Linked DNA regions of Saccharomyces cerevisiae S288C. Changing the gene in region 3 together with the main gene of any one other region gives a genetic interaction. Each region holds a gene or a part of one and is shown on either strand. Other genes may lie near its edges.

What was found. A genetic interaction does not mean that the proteins touch.
Region 1: mutations in CDA2 (region 3) and TFA1 together harm fitness less than expected from each alone (positive genetic interaction), as found in Saccharomyces cerevisiae (one large-scale study listed by BioGRID).
Region 2: mutations in CDA2 (region 3) and FDH1 together harm fitness less than expected from each alone (positive genetic interaction), as found in Saccharomyces cerevisiae (one large-scale study listed by BioGRID).

Annotation. Positions count from the first base shown.
Region 1 is NC_001143.9:383,940-387,706, forward strand, and holds TFA1 (transcription factor TFIIE subunit TFA1), read left to right. Parts: upstream 1-1,818; coding exon 1,819-3,267; downstream 3,268-3,767. Other genes in the region: MAE1 (malate dehydrogenase (oxaloacetate-decarboxylating)), read right to left, coding at 1-786; TCD2 (tRNA threonylcarbamoyladenosine dehydratase), read left to right, coding at 3,623-3,767. UniProt on the Saccharomyces cerevisiae protein: Recruits TFIIH to the initiation complex and stimulates the RNA polymerase II C-terminal domain kinase and DNA-dependent ATPase activities of TFIIH. Both TFIIH and TFIIE are required for promoter clearance by RNA polymerase.
Region 2 is NC_001147.6:1,071,293-1,074,607, reverse strand, and holds FDH1 (formate dehydrogenase (NAD+)), read left to right. Parts: upstream 1-1,684; coding exon 1,685-2,815; downstream 2,816-3,315. Other genes in the region: YOR389W (uncharacterized protein), read right to left, coding at 1-395. UniProt on the Saccharomyces cerevisiae protein: Catalyzes the NAD(+)-dependent oxidation of formate to carbon dioxide. Formate oxidation is the final step in the methanol oxidation pathway in methylotrophic microorganisms.
Region 3 is NC_001144.5:745,025-750,224, reverse strand, and holds CDA2 (chitin deacetylase CDA2), read right to left. Parts: upstream 2,289-5,200; coding exon 1,350-2,288; downstream 1-1,349. Other genes in the region: IMH1 (Imh1p), read left to right, coding at 1-1,191; DPA10 (Dpa10p), read left to right, coding at 3,114-3,377; chitin deacetylase CDA1, read right to left, coding at 3,700-4,605. UniProt on the Saccharomyces cerevisiae protein: Hydrolyzes the N-acetamido groups of N-acetyl-D-glucosamine residues in chitin to form chitosan and acetate. Chitosan is a component of the spore wall.

The DNA.
Region 1 (3,767 bases), on a different chromosome or scaffold from region 3:
CAATGCCAATTTGGAGATAGCAATACGTACACCACCGATACCTTGGTCACCAATTCCCAGAATACCTTCCGAATCCGACACAACGATGTAGTCTACATCTTTGTCTCCACCGTATGTAGCCAATCTACATTCGATGGAATCAGGTTCGGTAATGTCTAAAAACACACCTTCTGGCTTTCTGAACCTGTGGGAATAGGCAGCAATAGCATCACCTTCGGTTGGGGTGTAAATGATAGGAACTAATTCCTTGATATGTCTCCTTATTAATGCAAAATATAGGACTTTGTTCTGTACTCTCAAAGACGTCATGAAGTCGTTTTTGGCCAAGGGCGTCTTCAAATAGCATAACTGCTTGTAGCTTCTTTCCAGTTGTTCGTCCAAAGTGTTCACTTGTGGTGGTAGCAATGCTTCTAAATTAAACGCTTCCCTTTCTTCTTGTGTAAATGCAGAACCCTTGTTAAATAAAGGAGAGTTTAAAAGTTGAAAGCTCTCCAAGGGACATTCTATGGCACCTTCTACAGTCAAACGAGTGGCATGTGGGTGAGGAGCTTCGAAGATCTTTCTGGCGCGAGAACCGACGGGTGTTTTAGTGACCTCCTCGTCGCTGTATGGCTTTTGGAAAGTATTTTCTCTTGTTGTGGTAGCTTTATGCGATCTAGTGTTAGAAGAATATAAACGCGATTGCTGAATAGGCCATCTTCTTAATGGTGCTGTCCTTGATGCTGTCAAGGATCTGGTTAGTTGCGATCTAGCAGCAACGGAAACGGATAGTCTGGTTCTAAGCATAACCGTATTTCTACCTTTTGTCTTGGTATTTATGTGCACTAAACTCGTTAAAAGTTGTAGGTTTCAAAAGCACAAATATCCGAAGCTGGACACAATATACGAGTAAGTATAAAGATACGCATATATATATATATATAATATGTCAATCATGCCGGTAACGGGTACGACTTCGAAACTCTATAGCGCTAAAGCTGTAGACCAAAGGAAGTCAAATGGAGCATACGCGGTACAGTAATAGGAAATTGCGAAAATTTTTCACCATAGAAAGGCGATGATGAGTCGAAGCCAAGGGGACTCAGTCACTCAGTCAGCTGATGCGATGCGATGTTAGCGCAAACAATAACGCGTACGATAATAAAACTTCAAATGCGCCAATTCTTTTTTTTTTTTTTTTTTTTTTTTGATTTCTTTTCATATATCCGATTTAAACCGCCTAGGGAAGAGTAAAAACCCGAATTGTTCCGTCTATACTTGGTTGTATGGGTGTTTTTTCTTCGATGCTTTTCGTATAAGAAGATATGCAGTGAATATCTTTCAATCGCCTTGAACGGTTGACAAGACGCAAGAATTTGAAAAACCTTGCAATGCACGATGCAATATTCAATTTGCACACATCGAAACGAATTGGTATCGAAAATAAACGCGAAACATATGAGAAATTTTTCTAACTTTTCTTCCTTCGTTAAGAGTGATCCTTGCACTGTGATGAATCGCTATAATTGTTGTAATGATTGACACTGGGTGAAGGGCAAAGGATGTCCAAATGATAAAAAAACAAAAAAATTTGGAAGTGTAAATTGTACCATGGGCGAATTTCAGGTTACTATTGTAGTCTGGTGAGTTAATACGTAATAATACTTGGTTTTTTTTTTTGGTTTTTTACTAAGCGTTACCGTGTGTAGTGATTATCTAAGCGGTTCTTGCAAGATTAGGAAAAAAGCTAATTAAGTGTAAACTTGGCAGCATGATTGCTCGTCCTAATCGAGCCAAAGATAGAAAACTACTGGAAGCAGCTGCTGCAGTGAGTAGAGTATGGATAGACCTATAGATGATATTGTGAAAAATCTTTTAAAGTTCGTCGTTAGGGGGTTTTATGGTGGCTCCTTTGTACTGGTACTCGATGCTATACTATTTCACTCGGTCCTAGCTGAAGATGACTTGAAACAATTGTTGAGCATAAATAAGACGGAACTGGGGCCGCTAATTGCTAGACTAAGATCAGACAGGTTAATATCCATACACAAACAAAGAGAATACCCTCCAAACTCAAAAAGTGTGGAAAGAGTTTACTACTATGTAAAATATCCTCATGCTATTGACGCAATCAAATGGAAGGTCCATCAAGTCGTACAAAGATTGAAGGATGACTTGGACAAAAATTCAGAACCTAATGGTTACATGTGTCCGATTTGTTTGACCAAGTACACACAATTGGAAGCTGTACAATTATTGAATTTTGATAGGACAGAATTTTTATGTTCCCTATGTGATGAACCGTTGGTGGAAGATGATTCTGGTAAAAAAAACAAAGAGAAGCAAGATAAATTAAATAGGTTAATGGACCAAATTCAGCCAATCATTGATTCTTTGAAAAAGATTGATGATTCAAGAATTGAGGAGAATACTTTCGAAATTGCATTGGCTCGCTTGATACCACCTCAAAATCAATCACATGCAGCATACACGTACAATCCAAAGAAAGGCAGCACCATGTTCAGACCGGGAGATTCTGCTCCATTGCCAAATCTTATGGGTACTGCTCTTGGTAACGACAGTAGTAGACGTGCCGGTGCTAACTCTCAAGCCACATTACACATCAACATTACCACGGCAAGTGATGAAGTGGCTCAAAGGGAATTGCAAGAGAGACAGGCTGAAGAGAAAAGAAAACAAAACGCTGTCCCTGAATGGCATAAACAGAGTACCATCGGTAAAACTGCTCTTGGTAGACTGGATAATGAAGAGGAGTTCGATCCTGTAGTTACTGCATCTGCCATGGATTCTATAAATCCTGATAATGAACCTGCACAGGAAACATCCTATCAAAATAACAGAACTCTGACCGAGCAAGAAATGGAAGAAAGAGAGAATGAAAAGACGTTGAATGATTACTACGCTGCTTTGGCTAAAAAGCAAGCAAAGCTCAATAAAGAAGAAGAGGAGGAGGAAGAAGAAGAAGAGGATGAGGAAGAAGAAGAGGAAGAAGAGATGGAAGATGTTATGGATGATAACGATGAAACTGCTAGAGAAAATGCATTGGAAGATGAATTTGAAGACGTAACGGATACAGCTGGCACCGCAAAGACAGAATCAAACACCTCCAACGACGTAAAACAAGAATCGATTAATGATAAGACTGAAGACGCTGTAAATGCTACTGCCACTGCTTCAGGTCCGAGTGCAAACGCTAAACCAAATGATGGTGATGATGATGATGATGATGATGATGATGAGATGGACATTGAGTTTGAGGACGTTTGATATGGTCCGTTTTTTTTAAATCTTACCAACTAGCTCTTACAATGTAGAACCAACTTTTCCTTTCTTCATTTTCTTCTCTATTGTATCAAGCTTCTCTTAAAATCTAAAAAAAATGAGAGAAAAAAAAAAGAATACGTCTGGAAAAAATCACATGAAAAAATTTCAGAAAAAGAAAGCGGAGCTACTAGACATATGGCATCTTTATAGTAATAATAAAAACATTACTAGTGAGAATATTGAGGTGTAAAAAATATTTTTTCGAGCATATTTAGTTTATATATATTTAATAAAGAACCTCAACTTATAGAAGGCACAGAAGGATTGCTTTATCATTCAACCAAAGTACAAAAATAATATGGTAGAGAAGGATACATGGAAACTGATAACTGCCACTGCACTATTCACTGTGGCAGTGACGACGATTACAGATTATGCTTGGACCAGTTGGCAAGCACAAAAGCAAGTAATTGCGCAACAAAAAAATAAGAATAAAGGTGGGC
Region 2 (3,315 bases), on a different chromosome or scaffold from region 3:
CTCAAGCCGAAAGAGTAGCTGAATTCGTGGTCCATAGCCAGCCATTCGAAGGTAGTTGGCACTTTTGATCCGGCATGGTACATTAAAGTTCCTTTGGGAATTACAGCGGGAAAATAAGATACTCCGACAGGATGTATATCCGATGGAGACTGTCTTAAAGCAGCTCGAATGGAATTAAAGATAGCCGTGCTGTTATCAAAATCAATGTCTCTGACAAACTCATGGTAATTATCCCATCGTATAGAAGGTGTGTCTGTGATTTTGGTTGCAGGTTGCTTGTGTGGTAGGGCAGTTGACACTATGCCATAAGATTCAGATAATTTCCAACAGAAACCAAGCAGCACAATGAGCAGTACGCCTACGGTGGCTGCGGTACCTTGACGGTGGAATCTCATTATTTATGTAAACAATTATAAATGGGCTCTTCGAGAACTGAGGCCATAGAATTTTTTTTTTTTATGAATTTTTTTTATCATCCTAATACTTTTTGTCTTTTAAGAGTGAAGAGCCGCAAGTTTCTTTTTTTTTTTATTTTGTTTTTAATTTTTTTCTTGGCATAGAATTTTTACACCCCGATCTTTTTTTTACATACGTAGTTCATTGCCGCTGATTACTGCATCGTCTCGCTTTGCCCGGAGAACGGTTGTTAACTTGTGTTTAATGTGGTGTAAAGACAATGTCAATGCAAGTGACATGAACACTGTAATACATCACATTGGTAAACAAAGCTTGAATCGTGAACCTTTCTCTAAAAATTTCGATAATATGCATAAAGGTTCTTGAAGCTCCCCTTGTTCAAGTGGTTTATTTTTCTATAGATATTTACACTCCGCAAGTGCAAAAAAAAAGCATTATCGCTAACGATCAAGAGGAACTGAGACCTTATTAGTTGTCTTTGTTGGCGTAACATAAATTTCTTAGGAAAAGAGAAAATTATCTCGAAGGCAAAAATAAACCAAGCCTCGAGTTTAATGGTTTTCTAAAAAACACTTTAAAAACAGATCGCCATAAAAGGAGAAGCTCCGTAGGAGACCGTTTTCGAAACCTATGTAGAAATAAAGGGAAAGCTCCAACGGTTTGGATAAATCTTTAGAAGCATAGAGTTTATACAACATTCAGTACGAAATGTACTCTCGAAACGTTCTCTTTTCACGGTGCTTAGTAGCAGAAAAAAGTGTCGGAAATTACCTATTTTGTCACCACTCGAGGATAGGCTTGAAAGAGAGTTTTAACCCCAACTTTTCTATTTTGCACTTGTTTGGCTATGGTTTAAAACATTCTGTTTGGACCAACAGCCCAAGCGGCTTATCCCTTTTCTTTTTTTCCCTTATAATCGGGAATTTCCTTACTAGGAAGGCACCGATACTAGAACTCCGAATGAAAAAGACATGCCAGTAATAAAACTATTTTGATGTTATGCGGAATATACTATTCTTGGATTATTCACTGTTAACTAAAAGTTGGAGAAATCACTCTGCACTGTCAATCATTGAAAAAAAGAACATATAAAAGGGCACAAAATTGAGTCTTTTTTAATGAGTTCTTGCTGAGGAAAGTTTAGTTAATATATCATTTACGTAAAATATGCATATTCTTGTATTGTGCTTTTTTTATTCATTTTAAGCAGGAACAATTTACAAGTATTGCAACGCTAATCAAATCAAAATAACAGCTGAAAATTAATATGTCGAAGGGAAAGGTTTTGCTGGTTCTTTACGAAGGTGGTAAGCATGCTGAAGAGCAGGAAAAGTTATTGGGGTGTATTGAAAATGAACTTGGTATCAGAAATTTCATTGAAGAACAGGGATACGAGTTGGTTACTACCATTGACAAGGACCCTGAGCCAACCTCAACGGTAGACAGGGAGTTGAAAGACGCTGAAATTGTCATTACTACGCCCTTTTTCCCCGCCTACATCTCGAGAAACAGGATTGCAGAAGCTCCTAACCTGAAGCTCTGTGTAACCGCTGGCGTCGGTTCAGACCATGTCGATTTAGAAGCTGCAAATGAACGGAAAATCACGGTCACCGAAGTTACTGGTTCTAACGTCGTTTCTGTCGCAGAGCACGTTATGGCCACAATTTTGGTTTTGATAAGAAACTATAATGGTGGTCATCAACAAGCAATTAATGGTGAGTGGGATATTGCCGGCGTGGCTAAAAATGAGTATGATCTGGAAGACAAAATAATTTCAACGGTAGGTGCCGGTAGAATTGGATATAGGGTTCTGGAAAGATTGGTCGCATTTAATCCGAAGAAGTTACTGTACTACGACTACCAGGAACTACCTGCGGAAGCAATCAATAGATTGAACGAGGCCAGCAAGCTTTTCAATGGCAGAGGTGATATTGTTCAGAGAGTAGAGAAATTGGAGGATATGGTTGCTCAGTCAGATGTTGTTACCATCAACTGTCCATTGCACAAGGACTCAAGGGGTTTATTCAATAAAAAGCTTATTTCCCACATGAAAGATGGTGCATACTTGGTGAATACCGCTAGAGGTGCTATTTGTGTCGCAGAAGATGTTGCCGAGGCAGTCAAGTCTGGTAAATTGGCTGGCTATGGTGGTGATGTCTGGGATAAGCAACCAGCACCAAAAGACCATCCCTGGAGGACTATGGACAATAAGGACCACGTGGGAAACGCAATGACTGTTCATATCAGTGGCACATCTCTGGATGCTCAAAAGAGGTACGCTCAGGGAGTAAAGAACATCCTAAATAGTTACTTTTCCAAAAAGTTTGATTACCGTCCACAGGATATTATTGTGCAGAATGGTTCTTATGCCACCAGAGCTTATGGACAGAAGAAATAAGAGTGATTATGAGTATTTGTGAGCAGAAGTTTTCCGGTCTCCTTTTGTTCTTGTTTTGGCGTATTCTCCACTATTCGTCCATAGCACATTTATACCTTAGCTAAATATTTTGTAAAGCAAAATTTTCGTTATCTCTTAAAAAATAGAAGAGCGGTTTATTAATATCAAATAATTGAAACTGCTGATATGGTAGCTATATACAAAATCTGCTGTCAAAATTTGGCAGTAAACGATCTTCACGGTAGCGGTTCAAATAAAGAGGAAAAGTCTTTCTCCCTTACTGTTTTTCTGGAATTTGGCTCGTCGTTAATAACAGAACTAAAGATACAGTAAAAGGAGAGATCGCAATCAACTTCATTAATTGTAACAGTAGCATAATCACAACTGATCATCTACACTATAAACAGTTTTTATTTCTAATTATGGGCGCCTGGCCGGCTCAAACATTGTGCTTTTAAGACTCCAAAAGTATCTGCTGCAGAAAAGAGCCATATAATGTT
Region 3 (5,200 bases):
GAAAAAACTGTGAGTTACTTGGAGGAACAAGTTAAACAATTTAGTGAGCAAAAGGACGTGGCTGAAAAATCCACAGAACAGCTGAGAAAAGATCATGCTAAAATTTCTAACAGATTAGACTTATTAAAAAAGGAAAATGAGACACTGCATAATGATATCGCAAAGAATTCTAATTCCTACGAGGAGTATTTGAAAGAAAATGGTAAATTATCGGAAAGATTGAATATTTTGCAAGAAAAATACAATACCTTGCAAAATGTAAAAAGTAATTCGAATGAACACATAGATTCTATCAAAAGACAATGTGAGGAACTAAATGTCAAGTTGAAGGAATCTACAAAAAAAATTTTATCTTTAGAAGATGAACTAAATGAATATGCTAATATTGTTCAAGACAAAACCAGAGAAGCTAACACATTGAGAAGGTTAGTTTCGGACAGTCAGACAGATGATTCGAGCAAACAAAAAGAGTTGGAGAATAAATTGGCCTATTTAACGGATGAAAAGAATAAATTGGAAGCAGAATTAGACTTACAAACATCCAGAAAGGCCACTGAATTACAAGAGTGGAAGCATACAGTAACTGAGCTGAAATCGGAAATACACGCTTTAAAGCTTCGTGAAGAGGGACTAAAATCAGAGGTTGACGCATTGAAACATGTTAACAATGACATCAAAAGGAAGACTCAAGCCACTTCAGATGATTCCGATCAGTTGGAACAGATCACATCTAATTTAAAACTCTCATTGTCTAAGGCTGATGAAAAGAATTTTGAGCTACAGTCTGCCAATGAGAAACTTCTGAATTTAAATAACGAACTTAACAAGAAATTTGATCGATTACTAAAAAATTATCGTTCATTGTCCTCTCAATTGAATGCTTTAAAGGAAAGACAATACAGTGACAAGTCAGGAAGAGTTAGTAGGTCTGGTTCTATCGGTACTCTAGCTAACGCGAATATTGATTCCTCACCAGCGAATAACTCTAATCCAACTAAATTAGAGAAGATACGATCATCAAGTTCATTGGAGTTAGACTCTGAGAAAAATGAAAAAATTGCATATATAAAAAATGTTTTGTTGGGATTTTTGGAGCACAAGGAACAACGGAACCAATTACTTCCTGTAATTTCTATGTTGTTACAACTGGACAGTACTGATGAAAAAAGACTGGTTATGTCTCTGAAGTAAAAATGTAGCTGAAAGCAGAAGATACGTATATATTGAAACAGTTTTTTTCTTCCTGAAATATATCAAGAAGTTGCTGCATGTCTATATATAAAATACTAAAGCAATTTCTTTTTAAATTGTAATTTAATTCTTCCTTATTTTCTTCAATTCCCTGAAAATTAGGACAAGAATTCTTTTATGTAATCAATTCCGCCGACACAATGAGAAACTGTTGATTGATCATCACCTATCAACTTATTTATTTTAATGGCAAGATCGACAGTTTTTTCCGTTGAATCGTGTTCTAATATTAATCCGGTTCCTGACTTGTTCCAGTTTATTACATTTTGAAGAATTTCTTGTTCAGTTATGACAGAATCATTGAGAAGGAGGCTCCAATCAAAAGTATCGTGATCCCATAAGACGGCTTGTAAGCCAAATTGCCTTGTTATTGCTCTTACTCTATTATCTATTCCGCCATATGGAGGTCTGAACCATTTGGGGGTATGGTTGCCAGTAGCATTCATCGCCCAGATGGACCATTCAATTTGAGCTATAATTTTTTCATTCGATACATTTGGCAAATATACGTGAGACCAGGTATGTGAGCCGATTAAGTGTCCCTCCTTTTGCATTCTTTGATAGATATCTGGATGTTGAACTATATTGACACCTAAATTGAAGAAGGTGGAATTATGCTTCAACCGGTCCAATAATTTAGTAGTGGAAGCAGAAGGACCATCGTCAAATGTCTGGGAAAGTTTGGAACATGTGTACACATCATCGTGTTCGGTGCAGTGATGGCAATCGAAAGAGCACGAGTCCCTTGGAACACTGTCGCAATGGTTTTGATCATATTCCTTATAATCTGGAATTTGACTGAAATCAATGAAATCTAAAGGTATATAAGGTGGATCTAACCCAGGCCATTCTTTTAACCCGGTAAATGCACTAAGCCAATCCGGAAAAGGCGTTTTTGTAGCTGCCCTTTCCAATACAGGAAATTGAAAGTCTATCTGCTTTAAATCTTCCCTATTAGCTTCCGCGTGAACAAATTGCCCCAGACAGGAAAGTGCAATAATACATTGCAAATCAATTGTATTTAGTTGTATTCTCATTTTCAATTGCCGATCCGTAGAAATAATAACAACTCTTTTGCAGTTTGTTTACCCACTGTGGGTTTTTGATAAATAATAGAGGATTACTGAAGGAGAGAGAATATTTTAAATGGATTTTGATAATACTACAAAAGAATAGCCAGTAATTTTTGCGTTGCGTCACAAAATCAAATATCTAGTTTGTTCCCTGACGCATGTTTCTCATGTGTTACCCGTCCTTTTGTAACCTTCACTGCTACAGCCGTACTATGTGGCATTTATGGGTTAATAGAAAGTTCCATTAATCCGACATTAAAATTGGATGGATTAATGGAGAACACAAAGGCAAAAAAACAATGGAAGAACAAAGAAAATTTAGCGGAAGTAAAAATAACAGCCGAAAGCCAAATTCAGGCTTATCTTGCCTACTCTTTCTTTTATCGAATTCCTTTAGGCCGTTGCAATAGAAAAGTAATAAAAACGCATATACGTAAGTTGTAGTCAGTGTAATTGCAATCTATTATGCGCATCAGGTGCGCATACTACATCCATTGGTGCACAAAAAAAGGAACGCAGACAAGAAAATTATTCAGTTTGCTGTTCGTGATGAGCCATCCCTGAATATGACTAATGTTAATGTTCAATTTGGGATCTTATTTTTTTTTGTGCAGTAATAAGAATCTTTGAAAAAAAACTATATAAGCCTATATAGTTTGTAAGATATAAGACAAAACACACCTGCTTTTCCACTACACATTTTCGTTATTATATAAAAAAGACAGCCAAGTATACTTGTCAACAAAATAAACTCATAGCAATTACACTATAAAAACAATAGCATCAAAAATGTCACTAAGAAACATATCAATGATCACAAAAAATTTGCAAACAACTGCCAAGTGTTATGTCCCAAAAAGTTCACCTACATCAACAACTATTCCGGTTATAAGGGATGCTAGTACTACTCAATGTCGCAGAATAACTACCGTCATCAATATTACGAGTCTGAAAGGATATTCTCCATCTCCAAGAACAGTTCATGATAAGCCAATTGTTATTTGCACTGACAACGAAGAGGTAGAGACTGTATCGGAGCACGTAAAAGTATAATTTGAATTAATCTACTCTTAACACTGTTCAAATGTACGTGTAACGTTTTGACGCTAAAAGATTCTAAAAAATTACTTTTTAAAGTTATACCCTCTGACTTTATGTGACATCAGCATCCTAAGTACCTACCGTTCATAATTTGACGCTTTTCCTTATACATTCAAGCATCGATATATATGATTTTTATATATGTCCTCTATTCTAATACATACTTTTTTACTTTTGAAATAACAAAATATTCTTTTTATTTTTGCGAGTTGAATAATTAAATAAGAGATCAAAGATATATAGAGAGAAACTTTATTTCTCGGAAATCTTACTTCTAGTCGTAGCGTTCGATGTAGTCTGTATCACCAATACATTCTGCAATTGTCAATTGGTCACTACCAATAAGTTCGTTGATTTTAATAGCAACCTCAACTGTTCTTCGTGCACCATCGTGCTCTAAGATCAAACCTTTCCGTTTTCCCTTCCAAGTATTTATGTCCATAAGTATTTCTTCCTCTGTTCTGAAATCATCATTAGTGATTAATTTCCAATCAAAAGTATCGAGATCCCACAAGACAACCGTTAGGCCAAACTGTTTTACTATAGCTCTAACCCTATTATCAATTGCACCGTATGGAGGCCTAAAATACTTGGGGAAATGTTTGCCTGTGGCATTCATAGCCCAAATTGACCATTCAATTTGGGCTACAATTTCTTCGTTTGATAAACTTGGCAAGAATTCATGTGACCACGTGTGTGTACCAATCAAATGACCCCTCTCTAAAATATGCTCATATATATCAGGATAATTAACAGTGTTTATCCCCAGAACAAAAAAAGTGGTTCTTTGTCTCAATTTCTTGAGCAATGCCTCTGTCGCCGGGGCCGGACCGTCGTCAAATGTTTGGGAAAGTTTGAAACACGAAGTTACATCATCAACATCGATGCAGTTATAGCAGTCAAATGAGCACTGCTCTCTAGAAATTTTGGGACACTGGCCAGGATAGTACCTATCTAATTCTGGCACTTCAGTAAGATTTATGTAATCTAGCGGAATATAAGGTGGGTCAATTCCAGGCCATTGTGTAAGATTAGTAAATTCTGTTAACCACTCTGGAAAGGGCGTTTGCATATCTACTTCCCCCATCAATGCGGTACTCCCATTTGACGCAAGGCAATTTCCCTGTTTTAGAAAAAATGCTGCGAACAGCACAGATTGTATTGTATTGAAAATTTTCATCTCTTTTCTTGTGTAAAAGTAAATCTATCACTTAATTTTGTTTCTCTATATTCCACTTTGCTTACTTCTAAGCATCTACTTTGTTAGAACTATTGGTCTTTTTGAAAACACAAAAGTAAATCAACCCACTTGTTGGTATTTTTCTCTTTTAATTGCGATTGAATGACGGCCGGTCCGGAAAATGTGACATCTGGAAAAGAGAAATGTTGAAGCTGCTTCCAAGTGCATGAGACAGAATTTTTTTTACAGAAAATAGAAAGCGTTATCTTGTTAAATATTACTAACTAGTATAGTCATTCATTTTTTTCTTCCATAGTTGTAATATCTTTATTTTTTGTAAGAATTAGCGATAGCTGAGATTGCGTTCTTCAACTTCCTGCTCTCTCTTAGTCTTCTATCCAGGGTATCTCACCTTCCTGATTATCTTGTCAATAGCCATGGCTTCGCTGTTTCTTTATTATAAGAAGTATTTTTTGTTTTCTTCAAGAAATTTTTCGTATTAATATCTTTATGTTTTGTTTGCCTTTACTGGCCAGAAATTTTATACTTATTTTGAATAGAACACATTAAGTTCTACAGGTACCTGCAAAATATC